2 linked regions of the Drosophila melanogaster genome follow. The gene in region 2 interacts genetically with the main gene of each other region. Each region holds a gene or a part of one and is shown on either strand. Other genes may lie near its edges. The genes, in order: ZnT41F and Zip71B.

Region 1 (8,202 bases), on a different chromosome or scaffold from region 2:
ATGGCCAGACTTCCGGCGACATAGCCGCCAAGAAATTCAATGATCTGCGGTCGCCGTCAAATTTGTGGGATGAGTTCAGGACATGAAATGTGTCATAATTAAATCAGCAATACGTTTTCACACCTACACAGGTAGGCGGGTATGGTGCTTCTTCTTACCATAAATACGCAACACAGAGCAACTGCGAGCATAATTTTATACTTGGCCTCCTGTGCAGATTTGCTCTTCGAGTTGGCTCTGAACCCTGGTTGATGATTGCAGCACTCACGCTGCATATCAAATTCCGTTTCCGAGCTCTGCAATGGGCCGCACAATTTGTTCGTAAATATTTGTGTGTGCATGCAAGTAGTCCTTTGGTTGTTTCATTTACCTGGTTTCTCGCACTGTCACCACAATCGCCCAACAGTGGCACTTCCCAGGTTTGCTCCTCTGGAACCCGGACGACATTTGACCCAATTGTCACCACCTCCCTATTAACACTATTGTTGTTAACGCTGTAATACCTATCTTGGTAATCTGACAGTCGATCATCTCTAGTATCTGGATCCTGTTGGATTCCCAAACTTTGATGATTATCATCAAAGTAACCCGGGAAACCCCCTTCAGAGTCGTCATCGTGAGCGTTGGGCAACAGTGTGTTGTCAAGCTTCTGATATTTTGGCATGTTATTTGGTGTCAAATGGTGAACTTATGCTATTAATATTTCAGTAGTGTCGGCATCTCCTTATGTCGACTTGTGAATTTGATGTTTGGTTAACGAGAAGTGAGCAATTAATGTAAACTGAGAAGTCCGGCATCTGTCATAGTAAATCAATCAGTTGTTGTGTAGGAAACTGATCACTTCTCTTTGGTTCAGACTGTTGAAAAGCTTACATTCGACATCCTTTTTTTATGAAAATATGTTAAATTTTATTAAATTTCACAATCTTATTTAAATGATGGTTCTGATATCTGATATATGACCCTACAATATTTCAAAAATGTGGGCGTGGAAGTTTTGGGTGGGTTTAGCGCGTTAGAGTGGACGTGGCAACAAACTTGCACTGCGTCTTTGTCTCTAGAATCTGTATGTTTAATCTCAACCTTCTAGCTATTATAGTTCCAAAGATCTCAATGTTCATACAGACGAACATATATTTCAAAAGTAAGTGCGTGACACTTTTGGTTGGTTTGTAGACGTTAAAAGGGCAAACATGTATGCATTTACTGCTATGATATATTCGCTAATGGGAGTACTAAAGTAGTGCCCTCAAAAATACCAAATGCCTTATTGTCCTCAAAGGATTCCCTAGTCCCAAGACCCTTACCCCGACAGTAAGAGTTAGGTGCAGAAAATTTGATCTTTATTGTATATATGGACATATTAGAAAGGTTATAGAATATAGATTAAAAATAATTGGAAGCCATCTATGGGCTAATATGATCTGTCACGAGCTGGACCTTCAAAGAGGATATACATCGACAAGCACATGATGCAATGCTAATCCCTCAAGCCCTCATAGGAATCGTGTGTGAAAATCGTGTGTTTACTTTGTCAGTAAGTTTTCTTAGTTATAACATTGTAAGTTACTGTTTAATTAACAAATAATGTTGTTCATTGTATTAAAAGTACATTTCAAACCATTATCACTACATTTACATTGAAGTCTATGGGACTAGTTAGGTAACAGAGAAAAGATACACCGTATACCTTTGAATAAGGATACAAATTAATGGTAGCTCTTTGATTGCTTAGCCAAGAAAAATTACTATTTGTCTTCAGGGTAAGAAACTCGAAGAAGATCTTTAAATAAAATTCATAAATATTGATTATTGTAGGTAAAGTAGAAATATGAAAGCCAGACGAAATCGAAAACATTATGGCAACTAAGAGCAAGTCGGTCAAAACTCCCGAGGCCAACAATGGTATCTCTTTTGGAAATTAGTTATAAACATTTTAATATTGATAACGTAAATAAAAAAAATGATAACGGGTATCTGATAGTCGGGGAACTCGACTATAGCATTCTCTCTTGTTTTCCTTATGTCTAGGGAAATGTGTAACAAGGGCAGCATTTAAAAAATAATTTTCAGGGAGAGGAATTCATGATCACTTCCAGCATCCTATTTATGTAAGCCCCTTTATGTAAACTTCAAGCTAAGCGTGCAAGAAATTACATAGAAGATTATATGGTCCCATATGTTAAACCCTGCTTAAACGTGGATTGCCTAAACGTGGATTTTACAAAAATTTTAAATAATACAGTGGTAGTTTATTGCAGATTAGAAACGTTTTCATTTTAAGTTAACTCTTAAGGAACTCTTATAAGGTAAATTGATTATTCTATACAATGTACGTATAATGATAGCTAAACAAAATGTTGTTTATTATACCCGTTACTAGTAATGTAAAAGGGTATACTAGATACGTGGAAAAATATGGAACAGGCAGAAGGAAGCGTTTCCAACCACATAAAGTATATATATTCTTGAATAGGATCTGGCCATGGCCGTCTATCCGTATGAACGTCATACTATGAACGTCTTGATTTCAGAAACTATAAAAGCTAGACGGCTGAAATCAAGCATACAGACGCAAGTTTGTCGATTTTTCTTCGTTTTATTGTTTATCTTGTCAATTTTTAATTTTTTTCATTTCATTCTCATTTTATTTTATTCATTTATGAATAATTTCGCATTCGCAATCCCACTAGCTGAGTAAAGGGTATCGGATGGTCGGGGAACTCGAATACAGCATTCTCTCTTGTTAGAATTTAAGGACTAACCAATTAAATTTATTACACTCCACAACTTAAGTAATGTAGATATGCATTTATCAACAACGGATCGCACGTTGGTGGAACTCTACTGGCAATTTAAACCTTTTTCATTTGATTCATGTATGCTTATCAGCAAAAGTAGTCCTACTAGCTTGTGTGCCGTTGGGTTATCAGCGTTGGGTTTTCTCGGCAGGTTTTGACCGAAAGCATATTGTTGCCAATCAAATCGCCAGAAGAGCTTGTTATTATCTTTGATAGACAATAAGATACCCTTTTCCTGTCTAGTTGGAGGGCAAGAGATGAATATCGAGAGATATCGGGAACTATAAAAGCTACAGGGTAATCAAATCGCTATGTATGTAAGTTTGATTCAAAACCTTACCATTATCGCTTAAGCTGACACGATCACATTTTGTATTTTCATTTTGTATATTCTACCATTTGTCTTCCCAAAAAATGTAAAGCCAACAAACGGCTAAGGCAAAGAATCTAAAATTGTTAACAATCCAAACATTTTGCGACTGTTATTATGGTTTCGAATATCAAATTAAAACAGTGTCGAAATACTGGTATTGTAAAACTAGTACTATAGTAAATAGTAGTAATAATAGTAATAATAGTAATAATAATAATAGTAACTAGTAGATAGTAAAAACTATCTCTCTGAAAACTGTATCCCTAATCTCAACTCTTTAACTTCTATAGTTCCTAAGATCTCGACGTTCATACGGACGGACGGACAGACGGGCAGGGTCAGATCGACTCGGCTATTGATCCATATCAAGAATATATATACTTTTTCAAAGAATCTAGTATACCCTTTTACTCTACTTGTAGGCCACGGAAAAACCCTTGCTTACGCTTCGCAAAAAAAAAAACGAGTTTGCAATGGGCTCGGGAAAGGATTCAGTAGGAAAATTGACTACAATATAAGCAAGTGGAGGTTTTAGATTGGCTAGATAGTCCAGATCTAGGCCCCATAAACAATATTTGGTGGCTAATGAAAAGAAAGCTTCGAATGAACCACAGAGGAACATTTGTGACCTCAAAGAGATGTGGGTATCGATTTCTCGAGAACATGGCCAAAATTTTTTTAAATCAATGCCAAAACGTATTTAATGTGTAATACAGCCCAGGACGCGACGTTACACAATTCTTATGTTAATTAGTCTGTTATACTTTGCAGCGTTCGAATTAATAGTGGCCTTTTTTTCTTATCTCTGTTGTTGTTGTTGAAAATATAACATTTTTTATCAACATGAAGAGAATAAAATTCTCTTTCAGACTAAATACTTTTGCATACGTTATCTGTAGTAGTAATGAGTATACATATCGTGTGTTGAACATTGCACACCGCAAAAAACACATGCTGTTCGAAACACAATACAAAACAATAATAGTAGTTGGGGCTCGTATTTCATTTTCTTGGCTAGGTGTTCTAGAGCACCTTTTTTTTTGGCATATTTAACCCATTATATTATATACATATATACATGTATATATAACATAATATAATTTCTAATAGCATGCATACGTGTATTAAAATTGATGTGGTTTGTAATCTATTTGATTTGTAAATATGTAGCTATGGGACGTAGCGTTTTGCGAGAAAACTACCAATAAGAATTAGATCCTCCACCAACCAGAGAGTTTAACCGCAAGTCAAAGCAAAGTAAAGAAAACAATGCCGGCGCTGAGCGTGCACTGACCTTATCAGCAGGTTTGACTTTGGCAATGAGTAATAATTTCGACCGCGGCTCTCTTTCTCTCATATGTTTCTACTCAGCTGCTGATGCTGCACATAACTATGCACATACATATGAATGTACATATGTACGTTCCGTTGGAAAGAGAGATCACAACGGAGCGCCCATTCGTTGTATTCACTCTCACGTATCACACTGAACCATTGGCGTTAGTCTCATTTAGGCTTAATTGCGTAAAATTCTGATATTAAAAACATATTCATTTTAAACTCTTCAGAACATTAAAATTTAAATCATTATTATGACTTGTTCGTATCCAATCGTATTTTGTAAATCTTCCAGTTCCCAGCCATATGCGCATTGCATGGACTATGTAAACAAAATATGTGAATGTACGAAATACTCAGTTGAGAGACTACAATAATGTTCCGCTGTCGTGCACTATCAGCTGGTGTTCTCTTTTTATCGTACACGGCCCTACTCGCTGTAATTGTTTTAGATTTCCGATCGTCAGCGACTGCTTACTTCCCGGCACACCCGGCGACGCGTGAAGTTCAACTAACAGCGGTGACGGCGTCGCCTTCTCAGTTGGTTTCTGGGTAGAGCGAGACAGTGATAGTGGGGGCATTTTTCTCTTGAGTGGCGACGCTTGAGTGGTTCTCAAAGGACTTGGGAATTGCGTCTGTTGTTCGCTTATCAAAATAAGAGAGAAGAGTCTAGTTCCTCTACAATCAGAAATATCATATACCCATCACTCAGCTAAGTGGAGTCAGAAAAGAATGTGCCATAAGTAGGATCGTCGAGATCTCTGGCACTATAAATGATAGAAGGTTGACCCATGTATCCATTTTCCAAAAAAATTTTTGATACGCCCACTCTAACGTCCTGAAGCTGCCGAACCGGTCAAATTTTAAGTTTTTTCTCATTTTATTCCCCAACATCTATCGATATCCCAATAAAAAAAATAAATCGTGCAATTTCGGGTTCGCATTCACACTAGCTGAGATAGTCGGGGAACTCGACTATAGCATTCTCTTTTCGTTTATATTCTATTTCTTAATTTAAAAAAAAAAATCATTAGGCATCTGAAAGCCAAAAGCAAAAAGGAAGTTCTTAACGTCCTTAACGTCCGATCCGAAGACGCTAGACACTGATTATGTATATGTAAGGTACATATCAGATCATTTCAATTGGTTTCTTTAGTGTAACCGGAAAATTAAGTCGACGTTATCTACACTTTTGTGCTCGCGAACGTGATTATAAACACAACTCGAAGACTAAAAGGTAATCTTTAAAAATAAGGTTCAAGATAACGTTTCTGGCGCTATAAAAAATACATTTACACTTTATGACGAGTTTCGATATCGGGGAACTATAAATCGACACAGTTGAGACTAGACTTATCAGCGGTTCGATCCTTATCAAGTTCATCCACAGTAAAGCAGTATTATCAAATACTGTTAAAATTAAAATATGTACATAGTAATATGAAAGGCGTTTATCCTTAAAAACAAGAAAGTGGAAGTAAGATATAAATTTTTCAAACGGATTTTCTGGATCATATATTCATATTCATATTCGACTCTACAATTTAGTTGATATCAATGGCGCTTAAACACCGCTCAATTCATCACTTTTTCAATGTGTTTTAATCACTATATCCGTACTTATTTTTGAAGAGAGAAATTTCCATCGTCTTGTTGTCAGGTTCTTTTCAGTTTACGATTAAACTTAAAGTAAAATATATTATTATACCTTTAAAGATTTCTTTCTGCTCATGAAATTATTATATTACCTATAATAAAAATCGCAGGAAATCCGATAATCCATTTCGTTTTCTTACTTTCTTTTTTCTCATCCCCGCCCCATCCTTTTTATCAAGATGCAAAAGCACTTAAGCAAAATCTGCTTCCCGGAATGTGGTATTTCTTATTACAACGGGACCAATTAAAGGAGATTGTTATAAAACAGTTGTATGCAGTGGTGCTTGTCATAAAGAACGGATGAATAATCGAATTTTCTTTGGTTGTGTTTTGATTTGACAAAGAATGTATGTGTATGAATGTATGTATATGTATTAAGCAAATGCACTTTCGACGATCATTTAGCTAAGTTATTTCAAACAGAATAGCTATGCTTAGAGAAAACATTGGTGTGCAAATTGGAAGAGGAATTAGAGTTGTTAATTAGGGTTAATTAAAGTTAATAGGTGGAGTTTGTAGCGACCCCTGAAGCTATTATGTTAGAACACCCTGAAAGCTTGAGCCAAGCTTTGGGCGTGTAATCAAGGGTCATATTAAATGCAGTATTAGTCATAGGAAATATACTGGACGAGATGCAAATCTTTATCAGCTGAACTAGGAAAGTTTTGGATAGCTTGGTTATCACAAATGGAGTGATTTCCAGATGATCATGATTTCTTCTGATGGCCTAGACCCAGGCTTGAGTTTCCGTTCTATTTCTTTTCTAATCGAACCGTCGTAAAGTCAATTCGTGAACATTTTTTTCATTCAACTGTTTTTTAGAAAATTATAGCCTGCGCGCGTTAATGATATAATAATCTAGCGAGCTTTCCTCGCCGCAAAACGGTATGCGGTCTACATTTTTTTTGTGTGTTTTTTCCCAGGCGGAAACTTAATCTGGAAAATCTTTTGCTTGGAGCAACAACAACGCCACGCAAAAAAAGTGAAAAGTGATCAGTCAGTGATCAGCCGGCTCGTGGAGCACCCTTTCGTGCTGTCCCGGGGAGCACCCCGTTGAGCTCCCGTGGAGCACCTCTTTCCATCGATTAACAGACATAAACAAAACCTACGATTTTTATTTAACTTTAACACATGCTGGAAAGATACATAACATGTATATTAATAAAAAAAAGTTACGCACGTGGACGAGATATAAAGGAGATATGAATACACTAGGAGAATTCATCTGTTGAAGTAAACATCTAAAAATAAATTTAAAAAATATAAAGATGCTTGCTAAATTCTGTCATACCTAATCCTATACCTGCGTGAAAGATACCAAACTGCGAATCTACAGTGAAATTTTCCGAATAATTATATCCGCAACTATTTGTATTATTTGTAATAATTTATATAAATATGTACCCCAGGTGGAAACTTATTTTACATTACTTCTGTATTTTTAATTTTTTTTAATTAAATTTCCGTTAGGATTAAATATTTTTTTATATTATTTAACTTAACCTAATTTAATTATTTTCCCTAAGATGAATGTAATTTTAGAATTTTCGGGATAAATTTTGCAAAGATAAGTTTATTTAAATTCGTTTTGGTTCGGAAAATTGTGGAAAGTATGTATGTGTTCGTATATATTCGTAGTGTTTGTGGAAAATTCCACGATCTTATTTCAGCTCATCTGCGCCGGAAGATCGATCTTTTGCCGAGGATTAAAATTGAGTGTATTTTGTCTGTATTAACATTTACATATATTGGAAATAATGCACAAAAGCAATAAAGAAAAAAGAATTTCTAATTATACACCGGAATAAATCTTGGAAGCTAAATAAGCAAAAGTAAAAAATTTTTTGATTTATTTTTGTGAAAATATTTTGAACAAAATCTACTTAGAATAACGCGACTAATGAATACTGATTAAAGAAACTGAAATAATAAAAAAACAAGAGATAATGCTATATTCAAGTTCCCCGACTATCAGATACCCGTTACTCAGCTAGGTGAGTGCTAATGCGAAATTTCATAATTTTTCTGGAATAT
Region 2 (11,195 bases):
ATACTTGCATGTTAGAAAGTACACATATTTTTAAGTTAGAGCAACATAAGCTACACCCTAAGATCCTCAACTTAAAACACGGGCCCCTTAAAATTGGAGACAAATTGATCTAAGCCGGCGAGGACAAGGAAATAGGCCCACATTTGAAATGCAGGAAAAAATACCGTAATCCCTCTTATAGTATTATTAGGTTCCCTGTGCACTTAAAGGCGCATACCGTCGGTGGACTTACTATATGTTTTTGGCCAGGTAATGGATCTTGGCGCAGTTCTTGTCCGAGACAATGGGTCCCTCGGTGGCTCGCGTATCGGCGCCCAGAATAACACCATCCTTGTAGATGATGCCAACGATTGTGGTTCCCGTCTTGGTGGTGGTCGGTGGCTTGAAGCCTCGATTCAAAAGAGTTGCATTGCTGAAAGCAAATAAAACACCAATTAATAAAAGCCGATGGGGTATTGCTGAACAACTTGGACGATTCTTACCGCTTGCAGTTGTCGAAATTGAAACCAGCGCGGGGCAGATCGCGTGCGTTATCCAAATCCATTATATATATTCTTCAATTCAACTATATTAGCAAGGAAAACTAAGGTTTTAATTCTGCCGAGCGCGATGACAAACAAAATTGTTAAATGCTTGCTAGAGCTGGAAGTACAATCGATATTGTATCGATATATATTCATGGACTCAACTAGAGCGATAGTATTGAAGAAATAAATTATTAATAATTTGACGTTATTAATAATTTGACTTATGTAACTTAAATTATTCAATGTTGTATTATTTTAATATTTTAATGTTGCATTGTATAATTTTAAAACTTTTTAATGTTTGGAAATATTCCCCGCAGTATACATGCAATAAGTGCTTAGGAAGGCCCCTTATCTTTTGTAAGCGAATAGTCATGTTTGAAAAATATCGATATACTGTTTCCACCTGACCATCTTGGCATAGTACCATCACTTTTGTGAACTGCATCCCTGAAGAGTATTTTGGTAATTTACCATGTCTGCGGCCACCAAATTACATAAAACAAGCTGGTGCGCCCTGCGGCAGCTTCAACAATACAGAACTAAGGGTAAGTAACACTAATTAGGAGTCCTTTTATTGACCAAAGATGGAGGAAGTGGTTTACATAATGCCGGCAGTCATTCACGTTCCGCGGAGCTCTTCGGCTAGTGATGGCAGTTCGTTGATGTCTTGGCGGAAAAATCGCTAGAATTTCTATAGATCCCAGTTATTATTTTAGATAGTCAACCATAATTTAAATTCAATTTGTTGAAACTGTACTATAAAATATGTCTTTTAACTTATTAATTATCCCTACAGCCAACTTTAGTGGCAGTTCTGCATCGTTAGCCAAGCGGAATGACCTGTTCAACCAGGAGCAGCGCCGTCAACGGGATGCAGTGGGTCGAATCGATAAGATCGAGGTGCGGTATCTGGGACTTCCCGAGGATGTCACTCTGGTGATGAACGGCAACATCTCAACGCCCTTCAATTGCGCCCAGCATCTGAGTGAGGGGCACTGTAAGCGATCGGCACTGGCCTTGATCGACGGCAGTGTTCCCTGGGATATGCACAGACCCTTGCAGGAATCCTGTACTCTGCAGCTGCTTAACTTCCATGTTTCCGAGCCACATGTGGTCAACAAGTGAGTGCTATACTATTTATAATATGGCATTTATATTAAACTTGCTTATGTTGTTTACTTTTAGAGCATTCTGGCGCACTTGCAGCTTTATGTTGGGAGCCGCCTTGAACCGCGCTTTCAAGCCGGAGGCCAATCTTCAGCTCCACAGCTTTCCTGGACCCAATAGTAAGCAGAATCACTTTTTAGGATTTAAGATTAGGATATTTTTTTTACTAGGTTTCGTCTTTCCCCCTTTTAATTGGATGAAAATTTCATAGATATATATCTTAAAACTAATACTGTCTGGAATATTCTATAAGCGAGACAAATTATAAAATTACTCCTATTACATTTCACAGTCAAATCAGGTAGCTTCGTACACGACATTGTGCTCCAAACCCAGAACTGGGAGCCAGGAAAAGAAGAGATGCGCGCCCTTTCGGCAGAGATGGTTAAACTGGCTGCTCAGGATCTGCGCATCGAGCGTTTGGACGTCCAACAGGATCTGGCCCAGGAGATGTTCAAGGATTCCAAGTATAAGAGCGAACAGTTGCCCAGCATCTCGCAGCAGACCAATGGAAGGGTCACCTTGTATCGCCTGGGTGATCATATCGACATCTCACGCGGTCCAATGGTGGCGTCTACCAGCTTTTTGGGGAAATGCGTCATCTCGGCTGCCCACAAAGTTGCGGAGGAGGGTCCCTCTGGTGCTTTCTATCGCATTCAGGGCGTTGCACTGCCGTCTGGCTTCCAACTGAATCATGTTGCATTTGGTGTATTGGAGGAGCGTTCTAAGAAACCTGTGAGTATATCTCGACGTTTTTCGATAAAGAGCTGTGTCACAAATTTAAAACACATTTTAGAGCCCCGCACGACTGCCCAATGAACCATTTGAGGAACAACAACAACTGCAATTATCTTAAAACGTTCTTTAATATTTAAAACTATACTGTAAGTGTTAAAAAAGTAAATCATTAAAGAGCGTCCTAATTTGTTATAACAAAGAAAATCCGTCTTTAAAAGGATATGAGCAAACAAAATTCTGCTTTTACCATTTTAACTTACAAGCTAATTATCTTATGGAATGAAATTCTGGATAGCTCTTATTATTTATAGATTTAGCATTCGTAAGGCAGAATTTATATAAAAGAACACTTTGGTCTTATTTTACGATTTAATGATTCTATATTCTTTTAATTGCCAATGCTAGGGTTTCTCTTTTTTGCTCACAGTTCTTTTATTTTAATTGTCTCTTTAAAAACATTTATATTTTAATATTAAAGTTTCAATAACACTAAGGAAGGTGCTGTTTAAATCATACATAAAGCTGACCACAGACTAACATTTGGTAACGATTTCATCTCTAACAAGTAAGGCATGCTTAAAGAAGCAAGAGAATCAGAGATTCCACAGAAACATATTCTTAAACTACTATCTACAATAAGAAAACAAAATTAACAAAGCTGTTTGAGACTCAGAGCTATTCTTTAAAAGCTCTTGAACAGGCCCTCTAAATCGTGTTCATTGAGGGCAATAGCCAACATTATCAGTCCACCCAGAAGGATACCAAAAATTTGTATTATTATACCCTTTGGATCTTTGGCCTTTTCCGGATTGTGGGCCACACTCATTGTGGGCACCAGATCGGCAAAAGCAATATACAGGAAGGAACCAGCGGTGGCTGCATAAATCCATTGGGTCATGCCGTCTCCAATTCCAGCAATAAAGAGACCCACCGACATGCCCACAAAGCTAAGAACTGAGCTAACAATGTTCATATAGACGGCTCTTCGCATGGAGACACCTGTTTGCAGCAACAGAGCAAAGTCGCCCAGTTCGTGTGGCAACTCATGGCAGAGAACGGCAAAGGCGGTAGCAAATCCAGTGACCGGATCACTTGCGAAGGCTGCACCTATGGCCAGACCATCGGTCAGATTGTGCAAGCCATCTCCGATGATTACCATGAAGGCTACTGGGGTGAGCGGTCGATCGGGGGTCTTCTCATCCAGCTTGGCCTCCTGCAACATCACATTGAGCTCTCGAGGAGGTGGCAGATCAATAGCATCCTTTGCAGCTGGCTTCTCCATATGTCCATGACTGCGGCCGTGGCTGTGACCATGTCCGTGGCTATGTCCATGACCCGGCTTACCGCCCTTTAGCAGCGGAATCAGGTTCTCCAGCATATACATGAATAGAGCAGCCAGGAAAGTACAACCACATAGCAGAGCCGCCTCATTGCTATGTTTGTGATCAGATTCCAAGGGATTGATACCAGTGACTTCCTCCTCGTGCTTTTCCTCCTTGAAAAGGGCATGGGGGAGCAAGTGCATCAGGGCATCGCCAGCTAAAGTGCCCACAGCGATGGAAACTAGGAACTTGAGAATTTCCTGATAGGCAGCCGACTTCATCAAAGGAACCAGAAGAATGCCCAGCAATCCGCAAGCGGACAGTATAAGCATAGTGATGCTGGCATAGATCCAAGCTAAATCGATATAGGTAAGTTATCTTGTATAACAAAGTGTTAATTATAGATACCTACCGTACCATATCTTCTGGTTCTTATCGTTAAGGTTTACTGATCGTACAGCTGGTTGCTTGCAAACTCCATTATCGATCTGGGCTAATAGAGCTGGACAGAGTTTCATAAAAGCTCGCGGAGTGATCCGCACCGAGTTGATGAATTCGTTGTATTCCTCTTCAGAATTGTGGACGCCATCAGTTGAGCTAACGTCATTCTTAATGAGCAGCTTGCGGTAGGCAATGTTTTTGTGGAGATCGTTGTGGTTCACGATGAGGGAAAGTAAAGACTTCGGTGATAAGCAAGCGGCAACAGGTTCTGAAAATAAAAAGTGTAAAAGTAATGTAATTTTAAGAACCAGAGAAAATATTTCCTGTTTAAGGTAAAAGTCTAAGGAATAAGCACCTTGGGACTGCATTGAGTAATTCTTGTTGCATGTGAATTACTTGTGATTTCTGCAGTTTGCAATTTAATCTATACGTTATGCATTACTATATAGCGCTGGCTGGGTTCACATTATGAGCAGCAACTGTTTGTTCTAATTTAAACCTTTTAAGCACTTTGTTTATAATGCTAGGTATGGGGAATTTTCTTTTTCCCATGTTTACACTCATTCTATGGAAATAGCAAACGTATTTCTTCGACTCCGACACGTTGCCCTCTCTCAGCAGTCGATTGTTATCCAATTCGCATGTGCAAACTTGCCATTAATCCAGTCGGCTGTTTAGTGTTAACTTTATATGGGACAACGTTGTAATGATTGTGTGCACTTCAATTAAAACTGTAAGGCTTAGCCAACAAAAATAAATAACAAGCGAAGCGATTGAGGCCTGTTTGTTTCTCGTTTTGTATCTGTATCTGTATCTGAATCCGTTCAATTGTTGTTTTCTTTTGGATTTCCGCATCCATAATGCGTCCGTTTATCGTGCTATCGCCCTGTTTTCGTCGCCTGCTGACAATGATCTTTCCTACCTGTTGATTTACGGCTACATTTACGGCCCAAAAGGAGAAAGAAAAACGCATCTGATACTAAGTATATATACGCACATACATGGTAATGATAATTTATGCGACAAGGCCACGATCACAGACGGAACTTCCTATCAACCAAATGAGATGGGATGGAGGATGGGATGGCATAATTGAATTGATGATAGACCGCAGTCGCCGGTCGCCTTGCACTTGGAAATCGGCCAATTGATGGAAAGAGTCGAGTCAAGTCGAGGGCTTCATCTATTTATACTATATATATATACTATACTTCTGCCGGGCTCAATTTTGTATTGTGCCACAGGTGGCTGGTGTTTTATCATGTATATATGCTTGTTATTAACTGCCAGTCAAGTGAGCTTCAATCCGCGTATTTTTTGGAATTTCTCAGACCTGGTGGATTCTGGAGAACCGGAATAAGTGTTAAAACAAATTATCCTAAGATTTATGACCATGTTGTCTATCCTGGCGTAGCTTAGGTATTATCAGTCATAGCTGATGGTCGGCAAATACATACAGTAATACGGTTGGAAATAAAGTGCGAAATCCCCGACCATTAAGATAAGACTGGTGCACATCTTCATTAAATATTAAACGACGCCACTCACCAGAACTCTCCCTCGGATGTCGGTGCTTGGGGTCATGAATTTCTAGGAACTCCGGAACCTCGGCCTCCGACTGTGAATTTGAGTGATTGCCACGAGGAGAGATTTGCAGCTCCAAAGCTTCCTCATCGGTGGCATTGACTCGTGTCGGCTCAAAGTAATACGTTACATTTGTGGCATGCGGCATCTCGTTCGAGTATCCCTGAGGTCGATGCTGATCGATCGTGTGCGAGGGATCGAATTGGATTTGACCCAAGTTCAGGCTGAACATCAAATGCTCAAGACCCTGGAAAATATTTTAGTTCCTCATTTAATAGGCATTTAAAGCAGCATTACAGCATATTTAGAGAGCACTTAGACGTTATCTGGAAGTTTTCCAAGATACAAAACCAAAGTAAAACAAGTGTGATTAAGGCACACGTTATTGCAAGGCGCAAAATATAAGTAAACTATCTAATGATAAGGACAGATAGCATTATGCTTCAATAATTGTAGACAAACTATTTTCTTTTAACGATAATTAAGTATTTGATAATAGGTATTAAAATAACATTGGCAATGATAAATAGACTTACAAATATCTATGCACAAATTCTCAGAAAGTTTGATAATTCAATAGTTTTAGATAGTTGTGATTTCCCTAAACTATTTAAACAGTAAGTGCAACCTTGAAGTTTTAAAACCCATTTAAAAACAACAATTAATCTCGAAGTAGCTGGAGTAAACGCAACAAAACAACTGCCAGCTGTTTTGTTTTCGGTGAGCGTCCTGAAATCGTTTTTAAAAACAAACCTTAACCTGCTGCACATTTTTCACAGTAGCTATCCACGAAATTTCACGCCGACAAATCGATCGCATTTGCTATTTATTTAACTAATTTGTCAAAGTATATACTCTGGCTGCGATCTATCACCGATAATTACTTGATTTACTTGTCAACGTGCCAGGCAATTATATTTACATCTGAATTCATTTGTTTATTGTTATTCCTCCATTCTGTCGCATATTTGCTGTCGCTAAAGTGGGTGGAGATTCCCCGGGGCGGCGGTGGAGCCCCATCTAATTGCCTCGACAGCGACCTGTCGCCGGGGATCGGGGCGTGTGTCCGGCGTGTGATGAGTGGCTCCAAAGAATTGCCCAGATTCCCAAGATCAGGATGGCGGAATTTGCATATGAACAAACATTAGACACACACGCGCTGGCACACACAAAAAAAAAAAACTATTTATTATGTAGCTCATGAAGCCACCAAATGGCGAATTTTACTTTCATTCAGCTGAGATTTGTTTGTGTGCCAAGTGTGCTATATGTAATCAAATTTGGAATATTAGAATGATGATAGAATACGAGACGGTTGGGTGGGCATGGGACATGAGACATGGGGCATCGGGCATCCAACCCTTAATGTTAGTATGCCGAGTGCGTAAAAAGTAAAAACATTTTTAGTAGCGGCTTGCCATTCAAATGGACACACCGTATTGCGTAGCCCATACGCATGAGTAATGTCAATTGGCTCCGATTGTTCGGAATCGGACGGACTATAGCTTTGGAGTCCATAAGCATAACGATCGCGTTGCGAAAGTTGCGGTTGCTTTTGTATCTTTGGTTTATCGGGCATCCAGTGTGCGCCCATTAGGAGGAGGAGCAAGCAGTCTTATCGGGCTTATCATCTCGTAATCTCCGACGTGGATATAGAAGGATGTCTTGGGCGGGGGGTGGGTGTTGTTCGTCGTGTTGATGCTCAAGTCTCGTACTGTACATCTCACTGTGCCTGTGCTGCTCGTTAGTCTGGATTTTGATTAAATTTATGATAATGCCAGCAATAAAGTCTACGTTTTGTATCATACGAAGTGCCTGCTGTCTGCCCACTGTGTTATAAAATTGCTGCGCGCATATAAAGATTACAACCTTTTAAAAGTGACGCGATAATCGCTGTTGAGAGTGTTTTGGTTGCCCGATCAAGCCGAGTTGGCCAGAACACAATTGTTTCACTTTCACAATGCCCAAATATTTGATTAACTCGTAATCATATGAGAACACCCCCCCCCCTCCCACACATTGTTTTTGTTGCTGGCCCAAAAATGACAAAAACGAGAGAAAAAAAAGAAGACACAAACTCACTAATTTTTTGCCATAACGCTAACCGCAAAAGCTTTGTCCCGTGTCCGACTTTGTTTACCTGTGTTTACCTGTGCTCAAATTACGCTCTTGTGTGTGTTTACAAGGCTAGTTCGATGGTTTATTGGTTATTACCTCAAAGTTGATTGTCCCGCCGTTGCCGTATTTTTGAAATATCTGCGCCACGTATTTGTTGTATTCCGTGGAAGCTGGCACTGTTTTGAAAAATAGTGAGCCCAGGCAAAATAGGTTTAAGACTAGCACCTGCTTTTGGGCCATCGTAATGGACTGAACACTCAGGTGGTGGTAGATAGTATTTCTCTTTTCGTTTTATTCTATTCGTTTTATTGAACCCGGTTATCTACTGGTCACTCGTCATTTCACTGGGGGCTTCACCGGGATTTTTTCGAGTTTTTACAGACGCGTGCGATCCGTAACACTGCAGCCAACTACCGATCCCGTTCAACGGTCTTTTGAAATGACAGTTTCGCCCACGCAACGTTTTATACGACTTTCGGTTCGACGAGCGTCGGCGCGTTCTCCTTTCTCCCTCTCTCCTTCGCCCACTGGGCGGGCAACTCATCGCTCTGCGCACTCGCTACAAACTTAACTGTCATTTGGATTGAGCTTTGGAAAAGCTTTCGCCGGACCATCAAATTTGAGCGCCAAAAATTAATAAAGTCGATTAACCTGTTCATCGGCTAAACTCACATTAAATAGTGTACTCAGCCTTTAAATTGAAAATACTAAAGTTTTACACTTTCCTTTCATAATCTTAAGAATCTGGCTAAATGTTATTATTAAGCAACAATACTTTATACTAAAAACTATCCGGTAGATTGTAACTATGAAGAAAAAGATTGCATACCTAAAGGCGTTGTAAAGGCGCTTTCATCAAGTAGTGAGTTTTAGAACTCGCTGGAGTAGGAAAAATAACTAGAAAATGAAAATATTTAAAAAAATTAATAAATATTGTGGTAGATAATTATGATACTTTAAATAGATACCATGCGAAATGATATAAGTTACTTTTTTACCTTTAAAATGCCAATTTCCGCCCACTTCACAAAAAGTAATAAGATTAAAGTTTAATGTGTTTATTATTAACTTTCTTATACAAAACAAATTCGATTTTTTACATTTCGCAAAAAGTTGCATCAATAATAATTATTACTTACTGAATAAGCTCCTAATTACTTGTATAATATGTAAAAATTGGTTCGCATTTTGTATAACAGGCGTACTTCTGCTTTCGACGAGGAACTCATTTTTTTTGGGTTTGAAATATACATTAAAAGTACGACTAACAAATAATATTAATTGAAGCAGGGACTTCCCTACCAGAATGCATTTGAGTTATTTACAATAACACTTTTGTAATGTTGTGCGTAGGTTTTCAAAATTTCGCGTTGCTAACCTATCTTAGGGGTAAATTGAGACTTATCCTAACTACAAGATATTCCCTTCTATAGTTGCGTTGATCGATACATCCACAAAAGGCCCTCTCTTCCCAAAGTCGTAGAGTCCTGCAGTCCTAGTCGAACTTCTCCTGGTTGGGCATACAGATGAAGAATTTGGAGCACCACAGGTTGATCGCCTGCGAAGTGTCCGCCAGCCATTTGACCGGTTTGTGGATGGTCAGGTAGTAGACCGGAATTCCAGACAGTATAATGATCGTCCCGATTCCTACCACATATGGCGTCTGCGTGCAAGAGAAGATGACCAGGAACAGGCAGACGATCAGATAGATGATGGGCAGCGCCAAGTTGACCTTGATGGGTCGCTCCGTCTTGGGTTGCTTGTAGCGCATCCACAGCAGTCCGGATACCGAGATCAGCGTGAACAACGCCTCCACGTAGCTGACGTAGTTGATTAGTACGTAGACGTCCTCGATGAACAGCAGCAGCAAGGTGAGCACGCCCTGGGAAATTAAAAAAAGAAAAGAACATGATAATTTGATAAAAACAAATATTTATAGATTCTTTACTTAGGTTAAGCCTCTAACTTACCAGGAATATCAGCGAGGGCACAGGTGTCAGGCAATTAACGTTAATCAGCGAAATGGCGGCCGGCAGGTGACCATTCCTTGCACCGACGAAGAAAAGTCGCGAGGACGCGAAGATCGCTCCATTCAGCGAACCAAAAGTGGAGCAGGCCACAGCGAAGGGCATAATCCAGGACATATACCCCAGCATCTTGTCGCCAAACGTGACTGCCACTGCATCTGACGAAAGGATCTCGTCTGGCGAGAGAACCGAAAAGTATGCAATATTCGTGATCATATAGATGACCGTGACCACCGGCATTGAGATGCAAATGGCCTTGGGCAGGTTTCGGTACGGATCCTTGAGCTCCTCTGTTACAAAGTTCAAATAGTTCCAGCCGGAGTACGAGAAGAGGCCGCTATAGAAGGCCAGGGCTATATATCCAGGATCTTGAAGGCCTCCCGAGAAGGGATTATCCCAGTGCTCTGTGTTTCCATCGAACAACCACCAGACTCCGGCGCCAACGATCACCAGGAGGGCAACCACCTTGGTGCCCGTAAAGATGTCCGTCACACGCGTAACCCACTTAACATTATAGCAATTGATAAGCGTCAGCACACCTAGGGTGGAAGATCAAGCAATTAGTCAATATAGTCTATGCCTAGTCTCACCACCGATTAGCTATCAGCGAATCTTACATATCATGGCAGCCGCCAGCAGCTGAACAGCTTCAATGGGCGCGTCGCAGGAAGGCCAAAAAGGTTTCAGCAGATATATGGCAAAAGTCAGAGCCGTAATCGCATTGCCCGTGGGCACCAGGATCAGCAGGGCCACCCACAGATAAAGGAACGCAGGCAGAGGACCAAATGCAGTGCCTATATAGGCATAATCTCCGCCTGATTTGGGTATCATCGTGCCTGGAAAAGTTAAAATATTAGTTATAGAAGAAAATTTGCTCATTACGGCGTAGTTCACGGGGAACATCCCAAGAGAATAATGTTTAAAAAGTGATTAGGCTAATAGAGAGCAAACGTTGACAATCTGATAAGCATGACACAGTTCTGAAAATGCTTTGAGGTATGCATTTGCCTATCTAAGGAGGGTTGTTCCAGCAATTGGAGAAATTTTGGAAACGCTTAAAAAGCGTGTACTAACTATTCCATTTTTTACGACCATCCTAGTAATTGGTGATAATTTTATTTTATTTGCTCTGTCCATTCACTTCATTAAGATTTATGGAACTTTATTTAGTACTTAAATAGTTTGACATGAAAAGTTAGAAAAAGGTAGCATAAATATTTGATTTTCAAAAATATGTTCAAACATTCTGATCAGATCAGATTGAACTT

What was found.
Region 1: of Zip71B (region 2) and ZnT41F, changing one enhances a phenotype caused by changing the other (phenotypic enhancement), as found in Drosophila melanogaster (one study listed by BioGRID).

The regions. Positions count from the first base shown.
Region 1 is NT_033778.4:5,777,831-5,786,032, forward strand, and holds the start of ZnT41F (zinc transporter 41F), read right to left. Parts: upstream 5,029-8,202; 5' UTR 4,947-5,028; exon of another isoform or gene 4,469-4,946; intron 884-4,468; 5' UTR 665-883; coding exon 371-664; intron 297-370; coding exon 159-296; intron 45-158; coding exon 1-44.
Region 2 is NT_037436.4:14,989,417-15,000,611, reverse strand, and holds Zip71B (Zinc/iron regulated transporter-related protein 71B), read right to left. Parts: upstream 8,324-11,195; 5' UTR 8,141-8,323; coding exon 7,997-8,140; intron 6,030-7,996; coding exon 5,747-6,029; intron 4,467-5,746; coding exon 4,170-4,466; intron 4,113-4,169; coding exon 3,118-4,112; 3' UTR 2,629-3,117; downstream 1-2,628. Other genes in the region: Prosbeta2 (proteasome beta2 subunit), read right to left, coding at 233-412, 483-544; mRpL39 (mitochondrial ribosomal protein L39), read left to right, coding at 1,003-1,075, 1,327-1,651, 1,716-1,816, 1,990-2,432, 2,494-2,553; mnd (minidiscs), read right to left, coding at 9,396-9,782, 9,871-10,466, 10,545-10,763.